Linked DNA regions of Nothobranchius furzeri. The protein of the gene in region 1 interacts with the protein of each later gene in a pairwise test. Links are inferred from orthologs where the notes say so. Each region holds a gene or a part of one and is shown on either strand. Other genes may lie near its edges.

Region 1 (4,554 bases):
GCTCCATGGAAAAACATGACTGTATTTAAGTAGGTGGACTTTGCCAAAATATAAATTTAAAGACACTAAGATGGAGGTCTGATAACTGAAATATTAAATAAATAAATAAACAAATTTCTTTATTTCTATTTAAATATTGTGCATAATACTCTGTATTCCCCCTGAAAGTCCATTCTGTTAAGGAAAGAAAATCATACATTTGTTTTATGAAAATCTACAGAATGATGCACAGATCTGCATCAATACATTATATACAATATAGTGATTATCAATAAAGTAAAGAATAAAAAAAAGATATGTGTCTGGGGATAATTGTTTTACAAAATCTGTAAAATCCAGAGCCATAAAATAAACAATAACTCACTCCAGTAGCTCAGAGTACATGTCTGACCTATAAATTAATTTGTTAGAGAATAACACTTTGTTTAACATTTTGGAAAATTAAAAACAAAAATCTTTAGGTGTTTCTCAATGCCAAGGAACCTTGCCTTGATGTCTTGGCCCCGCCCTGGTTGCCTAGGTGATACGTCATCGGGAGCCGCCAAGACGTGTTCCAATCGGTTCCTATGTTCATGTTCTACCGAGGTATGTGTTCTCCGTTTGTTAGCCGTTTAGCTAGCTGAGCAAGGATACATGGGAGGTGCTTTGTGCCTAGCCTTGGTCAAAAATTACCCACAATACACCGCGGTATTTTCAAAAAGACGGCGGATCAGAAGTCGGAAGCTACTTCAGGGACAATTTTCAAGTTTAAAAGTAAGTCAATTAATTTAAAATGCTTTTTTTAGATCCAAAGAAGTTATCTATTGTTGGTTAGTTGCGGCTTCGGTGGCTAGCGGGTAATAACTCGTTTATATTTTTAATTTAATAAACATACACAATTTAAAAAGTAAAAGGCTCGTTATATATTTACATTGAAAGTAATACATATAAAATATGTTATCTCCCATGCCACGTGACGTTACGTGACCGCCGTGGAAGCCGCGGTCACGTGATGCAAGTCTGTTCCATTTAACCATTTTCTTTGACCAAGGAAGGACAGTGTCCTTGTAAGCAAGGCGCCTTGACATTGAGAAACACCCTTTGTCAACTAAAACCTTTTTAAGATGTAGTCGACTAAAACCAAGACTAAAATGCATTTTCGTCATCAAGACTAAGACTAAAACTAAGATGCACGCCAAAAACAACACTGGATAGAACACACCAGAACAAACCTCTTCGCACACTTCTCGAGCTGCAGCAACACTGGGCTCCTCTTCGGGCTCCATTCCTCCTCCAGGAACTATCCACTTGCCGGTATGTCGGCTACTGCTCACCAACAGCACCTATCCCATACAGCACAGATTAAATATAACAGATATTTTGCTTGTTGTTTCGTCACATAGAACATACAACTTGACAAAACTAGTCTAAACTAATCAAATAAAGCAACATTGAGGGCAGCAGTGGCTCTGGAGGTTGAGTGGGTTGACCAGTAACCAGAAAGCTGCAGGTTCGATCCTGGCTCCGGACAGAGAATTCTGCTGTTGTGTCCTTGGGCAAGACGCTTAACCCACCTTGCCCGCTGGTGATGGTCGGAGGGACCGGTGGCGCCTGTGCTCGGCAGCCTCGCCTCTGTCAGCTGTGGCTACATCGTAGCTCATCATCACCAGTGTGTGAATGTGTGTGTGACTGGATGAATGATGCACTGTAGTGTAAAGCGCTTTGGAGTCCTTCCTCTGAGAGGCGCTATTCAAGTGTGGGCCATTAATCAATTATCACATGCCTTTGTCACAACAGTGATAAGTTGCTGGATGAACTTGCATGATCGTTTACCCAAGCACTGGCTTTAGTTTGTTTTGTTTCCTGTACGGGTATAAGAAGTTAAAGGTTAAAGAATTTCACTGGAAACACCTCATCTGTGCGACACTGATGCACTTCCTGTAAACAACACATTTTATTCACAATCTATCTTCTATTATCTAGGACGAGTCTCTTATTTAGTTCTAATTTTGTTTGTAACGCATTTTCTTTTATTACAAACACATTTGTTCTTGCTTAGGAACGGGCAGTCAGTTTTCAAAAAAATTTAACAAACCTTAGTTAAAGCGGATTTTTATTCTATCATTCAGTTGACGCTACTACTACAATGTTATAAAGTTTACGACCTAAATTATTTCCTATGTATGTTAAGTGGCTCGCCACAAACGGAGCGACCTGTTAGTTTAAACTATTCCAGCTACACAATTCAATGGGGTAAAATATCTGTTTCATTGCACTAGGCGTTATTTAACATGCCACGATAAACCAGAATAAATACACACATTTTCTTAATTGTCTTAAAAACAAAATCGTCATTTTGTACATGTCTTACAAGTCAGCCAGCAGAGCCAATTCAGTAGGCTGTGGTTGCTGGCTGACAGCCGGCTGCCCGGAGCAACAACCTGGCTAGTTAGCATTAGCACGCAGCTAACGGTCCAATAATGCAAAACACATAGGCTTCCATTTGTACAGCTAAAGGGGCTTACATAACACTTAGATAAGTATGGGCAAAAACTAATTTAAATACACATACGTGGTGAACTACATATGAACCGGGAATAAGAGTTAAAAATCATTACAATCACAGCTATGTTCATTAATGTACTGATTTACAGACGGTAAGTACCTACGGCCGGCTAACCTTAGCATGGCCTAGCAGACAGCTACATCACCGGACTCACCTCCTCTTCAGATTCGCTCCTGAAGCACAGACAGGCGGCCCGCTTCTTGTAGCCGTCCCCATCGTACGTCCGGGTTTGGTTGGACTTGAGCTTAATCATTTCGCAAGCGCAAAAGTTTAAAAGTACAGCTAAGTTTACCGCGTATATAGATGATGGTTACAGACCAAAAGCCCTCTTCAAGGGAACCTCAGCGTTTGACTCAAAAGAAATAAGTTCTTCTTCGCTTCATTTTCACAAACCTAGGCACATCTACGGTACGGTCGCCATCACGAGGAGCCGTTACGTCCACGACGTAATTGAGCCTTTAATAGTTAGAACAGCGTAATGATGTTGCGTAACCAGCGCTTAAGAATCGGAGACTGTGAGGAAAGGAGGAAACGCAACACCACGCTCTGAGCCGGTGAAGGAAACTAGCGGTTTTGCCTCCAGACTCAAACTAACCTGATAAGCCCACTTGTTTGAGGCAGCAGTGATTTTGCTTTATTTTTATGAGAATTATAATCTAACCTTACATAAATGCTTTGAACTTAAACACTCAATTTAGATTATATTTCTCATTCAGCATTTTAACAGTTGATTGATTAAAAAATGGCCACATTTGTAATTTAGTATGGCACAAATAGAACACAGTTTTAAGTTTATATTTCCCTAATTGTGGTTTATAGTTTTCTTCATAACACCTTCTGGCCTCAAACATAATGTACACTACAGACAAATCAAACTACATTAAAATAATGCAGCCCCAAGGCCTACACTGTTTTTTTTAAATAAATAATTGAAACATACAACTGTCAGTCTTGGTCTCTTGGACAAAATTTCAATCCCTGAACACTACATTTAAATGATTAAAATCCATTTAAGGAGAAGTAATTCGAGGGAAACTTCTACAGCATGAGGATGTTAACATCATAATATTTTTAAGGGAGAAGGTAAAAAAAAGTTGATATCAAATATTTTATCTATCAGGGATTCCCTAAGTGTGGTGCCAGGGTGCGCGAGCTGCCGCTAGGGGGTGCGCGAGGTGAAAAGTGTAATGGCTGCGGAGCTCAGAGAAGTCTGTCAAATGTCATCATTAGCGTAGCCAGAAACTCATTTGTGGGTGGGCTTAAGAAAAAGTAAGTGGGCCCAATAAATACAATTGAAAACAAGTATATTTTGCGTGTGTGTGTGTGTGTGTGTGTGTGTGTGTGTGTGTGTGAGTGTGTCCTCCGCATGCGCCCTAGCTTCATAATAATAATGCGCCGAGCATCGGCACTCTGGCCTGCGCACGCCGTTAATAGCAAGATATGTTCCGTATTTGATCATTTTTCATGGTGTTGGAGAAATCTGAAGGTGGTGAGTCATTCTGGCAGATTGTAATTAACACCCTGTCTCATGCAGGTGTTCTGACATTGTAAACCTCACACACAGAACATTGTGAATGTAACTAAATAAATCAAGAAATGATTCCCATCTGAGCATTTTAGCATTATTATATTAGCACACTGACTGTGGGACAGCATTCTAAACGTGTCAGGCTATTAACAGCGCGCTGAAGATCTGAAGTTCAGAGTTAGACGCGTTCCAGCGAAGCCACGGCTCACATGTGAGCACTTCTGGGCTGGGCAGAAGTTATTTTACAACATTGGTTTAAATAGTGCCAATAACGAGACACGGTGAGCGGCTCATGGAGCTGTGCCGCCAACACATTCTCACTCCCAGCACGTCAAAAACAAACGCTTGGTCAGCCACCCTCCACATCAGTCAGACCCCTGATGCCAAAAGTGCCCTTTTTTGTTACTGTGAGGGATCAAGCCAAATGAGTGGAGGAACACAGACAATTTCCAAACATAGACTCTTTAATTTCCTTTTTGTT
Region 2 (4,582 bases), on another chromosome or scaffold:
TCCATTTGACAACGTTTCAAGTGAAACAAAACTGGTTTGCTGCTAAAAATATGAAATAAAACAAAATTATCAGGCTGAACTAACAGAATCTTATTATAAAAGGCTCAATAACAAGCATTAGATTGGTGTTTAGTTCTTTTTTCTATCTGATATTTATAGTAAATAAGATTTAGAAATATTTGACCTACATTAAGATAATATTTTAGGTTTGTATGAATAACACTCATCTTAGTCAAAATAACACAAATATATTCAGTAAACTATAATGCATTTCATTAACATGCATTTGTATTGGAAATGGTAATAACATTTAATTTCTGCTGCTAACAATGTAATGGTGGCATTTCTTATGTACGGGTTTGCAATAATCCAGTTTAAATTATGTTGAAAGATAGAAGCGTTTGTGAACAATACACCACAACGGCTTGCCGTACTTCCTGCTCCAGTGTGTGGAGCAGACTTGTAGCAGTAATGTGACTCGTTTCTGCAGCGGTTCTGATCCGTAGCGCTGCAGGATGCAGAATGAACAGGATGGTGGGGACTTTTCATCCGCTTGTAGAGTTTAGCCTTTCTTAGTTTTACGATCATCATATATTTTTCTTCCCTGCTCTGATATGGAAGAGCCTGGGGGAAAATCAGGATGTCAATAGCACCAAACATAGATATGGGGCGACGAGGCACAGGAGTTAAGTGCTCGCCCCGCAATCGGAAGGTTGCAGGTTCAAGCCCCGCTCAGTCTGTCGCTGTCGTTGTGTTCTTGGGCAAGACACTTAACCCACGTTGCCTGCTGGTGGTGGTCGGAGGGACCGGTGGCGCCAGTGCTCGGCAGCCTCGCCTCTGTCAGTGCGCCCCAGGGCAGCTGTGGCTACATTGGGGCAGCAGTAGCTCAGGTGGTAGAGCGGGTTGCCTCATGATCGGAGGGTCATGGGTTTGATTCCAGCTCCCGCCAGGGGTATCCTGCTGTTGTGTCCTTGGGCAAGACACTTCACCCACCCAACTTGCCTGTGTTAGTGGTGGTCAGAGGGGCCGACGGCGCCAAACGGCAGCCTCGCCTCTGTCAGACCTCCCCAGGACGGCTGTGGCTACAAGTAGCTTACCATCACTAGCAGTGTGTGAATGTGAGTGTGTGAGAAAGCGTCTTTGGGTGTCTAGAAAAGCGCTATATAAGTTCAATGCATTATTATTATTATTATTGTAGATCATCCCCACCAGTGTGTGAATGTGTGTGTGAATGACTGATTGTGTTGTAAAGCGCCTTGGGGGGTTCCAGGACTCTAGAAGGCGCTATATCAAATACAGGCCATTTACCAAATAGCAAGAGAAGCAATTTTTGATCCTTTTCTGCAGTGGTTTTAGTGCTTTTCGGTGCACCGCTGCTGATACAGCGCCCCTGTAGTGGCGCAACGCTGCAACTGCAGTTAAAATGGGGGCAGCAGTAGCTCAGGTGGTACAGCAAGTTGCCTCAAGATCGGAGGGTCATGGGTTCGATTCCAGCTCCTGCCAGGGGTATTCTGCTGTTGTGTCCTTGGGCAAGACACTTCACCCAACTTGCCTGTGTTGGTGGTCGTCAGAGGCCGACGGAGCCAAATGGCAGCCTTGCCTCTGTCAGACCGCCCCAGGGCGGCTGTGGCTATAAAGTAGCTTACAATCACTAGCAGTGTGTGAATGTGTGTGTGTGAAAGCGTCTTTGAGTGTCCTGAAAAGCGCTATATAAGTTCAATGCATTACTATTATTATTAATAAAACATCCATATAGCAAGGGGGCAAAGTGAAATCAGGCTGGGGCGGCACAAAATTAGTTTGAAGCGGCCACTAATTTGAACGCAGGAAAAACCCTGTTAATGCACACGTCTTTTGAGGGTCACATTTCCATCATATGGTCAAGAAGTTGCATGTGTCAAGCACATTCTCACCTTGGCAAACAGACTTGGCCAGAAAGGCTCCACAGTGACTCCAGCAGCCTTGATCAGGGCATTCAGCTTGTCCTCCTGTGAGCACAGAGTCACACAATTTGAAAATGTGTTTTTCCTTTTCAGCACACGTACTGCTAAAGGGAAAATAACTGTCAAAACAAAACTGACAGCCTTAATTTATTAATACACCAGAGCGCTTTTAGTTACTTGTTCAAGGAGTTGAAAGTTGCTTCTAATGTGCATTATGGCTCACATGTTAGTTTTACAACCTATCAGATTTATCAGGGCTTAAGTGCTACCAAAAGGTGATAGGAGCAACGTAACATCCAGAAAACATGTCAAGCCACTATATCAGTAGTTTTAAAAGTGATACTCACTAAAGCAATGTAATGATGTGGGACATCAACTGTTAATTGTAAAAAACTAGTGAGGTCGTATATAAAACAGTAAGTAGTTGAACCTCACTGCCAAATTAATACATGAAATTCGCTTTTGATCATCGCTTAACTGTACAGCAGCTTGACAGGGCCTAGTTAGCCATTCCGCCATTTTTAACCGGTAAACACCGGCTGATAAATAGTATAACAGAAATTTACAGCTCGCCTTAATATGCTAACACGAACTATCTAATGAGTATTTTATTGCGTCAACACCCTCTTGTGTTATTTCCAATTTGCGCAACGGCAGTCGTGAGTAACCGGGACACTCACGGTGACGGTGACTTCATCATCGTGGAGGATCAGAGCGGAGTAAATGCAGGCGAGCTCAGATACGGAGGCCATTGTAGATATCAAAGGTGGTGGTAGTAGCGTCGGATGCCTAAATTTGACTGTGCTAGTCGCCGGATTGAGGACCTTAGCTTCAGATGAAGAACCAAGCACTTCAGGCACGTTTACGTTCCCACAGCGGAAAAGGAAGATGAAGGGGCGGGACTTTGGGATATATACGTGCGTAAGAAGCGTGGCTGTGACGTTTATACGTACAAACCGTCAGGTCCATTTTCCCATAGATATCATACGTTAACTAGATCCCTCGCCGCGCTGGTCGTTCTGGACCCTGACGTCCGTACGCGACGGCCATCTTACTTCGGACAGCTTTTTTTTATTTTTTATTTTTATTATTATCATCATTAAATGCTTATTACAATTTCTCGTGAGACAACAACACATAATGGAAACATACAAGGCATCCTTAGTAACAATAAAAGAAAAACAAATAAGAAACTTAAAAAAGAGGCACTTATATCATAAAGTAAAAACATTGTTTCAAGATTAAACATTTTTCTGCAGCATGACAAATGGCTTTTGCAGTTGCATTTGAATTTTTTTTACGAGTCAAAGGGGATAAGAACATACGGAATTCATTTGTGAAACAGTTCATGTTTGGCATTTGTTTTTTCCATTTGCTTTTGTGGATGTGGTATTTACCCATAATAATAATAATGTTAATTAACAATGAATTATTCCCATTTAATTTAGAATTGTAAATTAGAATATCTTCATTTGTAAAATGATCAAGTTCTCTTATTTTATTTCTTAACCAACAATGGACTTTTTCCCAAAACCTCTTACTGACAGGACAGCTGAAAAATAAGTGTTCTGTTCCTTCAGGGCTTTCTTGACAGAATTCACAAGGGTCAACTTCAAAACCAAATCCCTTCCTCAGTGTCTCTGCTGATGGATAGTAGTTGTTAAGAATTTTAAATTGCATTTCTTTTACTTTGGGCATTATAGGCCATTTTAGAACCCTGAGCAATCTCTTCACAAGACTTTTCCGACAACGGAAGAGTGTCTTCAGTCAGAGGCTTCTTCAGTTTCGCTGCAACACTGACCGCTACTGGAGATCCTTCCTGCCAACAGCCATTGTAATATACAATAACTCTTTGACGACTTGATTATTATTATTATTCTGAGCTACTACAGCAATCAATTTCCCTCTGGGATTAATAAAGTATTTTTGAATTGAATAGAATTATATATCTGTTTTTTATTGTTTTACTATTTTTACAATTGTACTGACCGCCATTTATATATTTTCATATTACCTCTTGTTATTTTATTCTCTTACTTATTCGAATACTTTACAGTGTTTACTCTGTGGGAGCCCTCTTCCTCAGGGCCGGTGGTCGGTGGCAGCGGCCTCGATGCTCTCCAGGTAGTGCTTGGGTGTAGGTGGGGCCCTCGCCCTCCCTCCTCTGGACGCCCTGTATCGGTGCCCTGCCTGCTGCCATGGTTGTGCTACTATTGGGGCGGATGGCTCCCCTGATGCCGTTTCCTTACATACCTGACTCATTTGAGCTCAGCCCAGCGTTTACTTATGTTCTCAACCATGTTGTGTGTGTATGTGTGTGTCACTGGGTTGGGGGAGGTTTTGTTTTTAATGTCAATGACATTTGTGGGATATGAGTTTTTTTTAAATCTGTAAAGCACTTTGAGTTACATTTTCTTTATGAAAAGCGCTTTATAAATAAAGTTTGATTTGATTTGATTCAAGAACCAATAGTACCTTTACCTGGGGTATGTACTCAGAATGGCATGCTAAAGTTGCTGAGCGGGATGCTGATTGATTGTAGCTCAGTAGCAAATAATGTCGCCAAAATAACCAGCATTTGTTAAATCAGAGGAGTTGCTTGTGAAGCGGAATGGAAGGAAAAGAAAAAAAGCAGTGTT

What was found.
Region 2: the proteins of nudt3b (region 1) and rplp1 interact in a two-hybrid assay, tested with the Homo sapiens proteins (2 studies listed by BioGRID and IntAct). The link is inferred for Nothobranchius furzeri from reciprocal best matches to the Homo sapiens genes NUDT3 and RPLP1.

Annotation. Positions count from the first base shown.
Region 1 is NC_091743.1:70,852,746-70,857,299, reverse strand, and holds the start of nudt3b (diphosphoinositol polyphosphate phosphohydrolase 1), read right to left. Parts: upstream 3,012-4,554; 5' UTR 2,799-3,011; coding exon 2,700-2,798; intron 1,323-2,699; coding exon 1,212-1,322; intron 1-1,211. UniProt on the Homo sapiens protein: Cleaves a beta-phosphate from the diphosphate groups in PP-InsP5 (diphosphoinositol pentakisphosphate) and [PP]2-InsP4 (bisdiphosphoinositol tetrakisphosphate), suggesting that it may play a role in signal transduction.
Region 2 is NC_091759.1:4,062,077-4,066,658, reverse strand, and holds the start of rplp1 (large ribosomal subunit protein P1), read right to left. Parts: upstream 2,839-4,582; 5' UTR 2,696-2,838; coding exon 2,624-2,695; intron 1,989-2,623; coding exon 1,914-1,988; intron 1-1,913. UniProt on the Homo sapiens protein: Plays an important role in the elongation step of protein synthesis.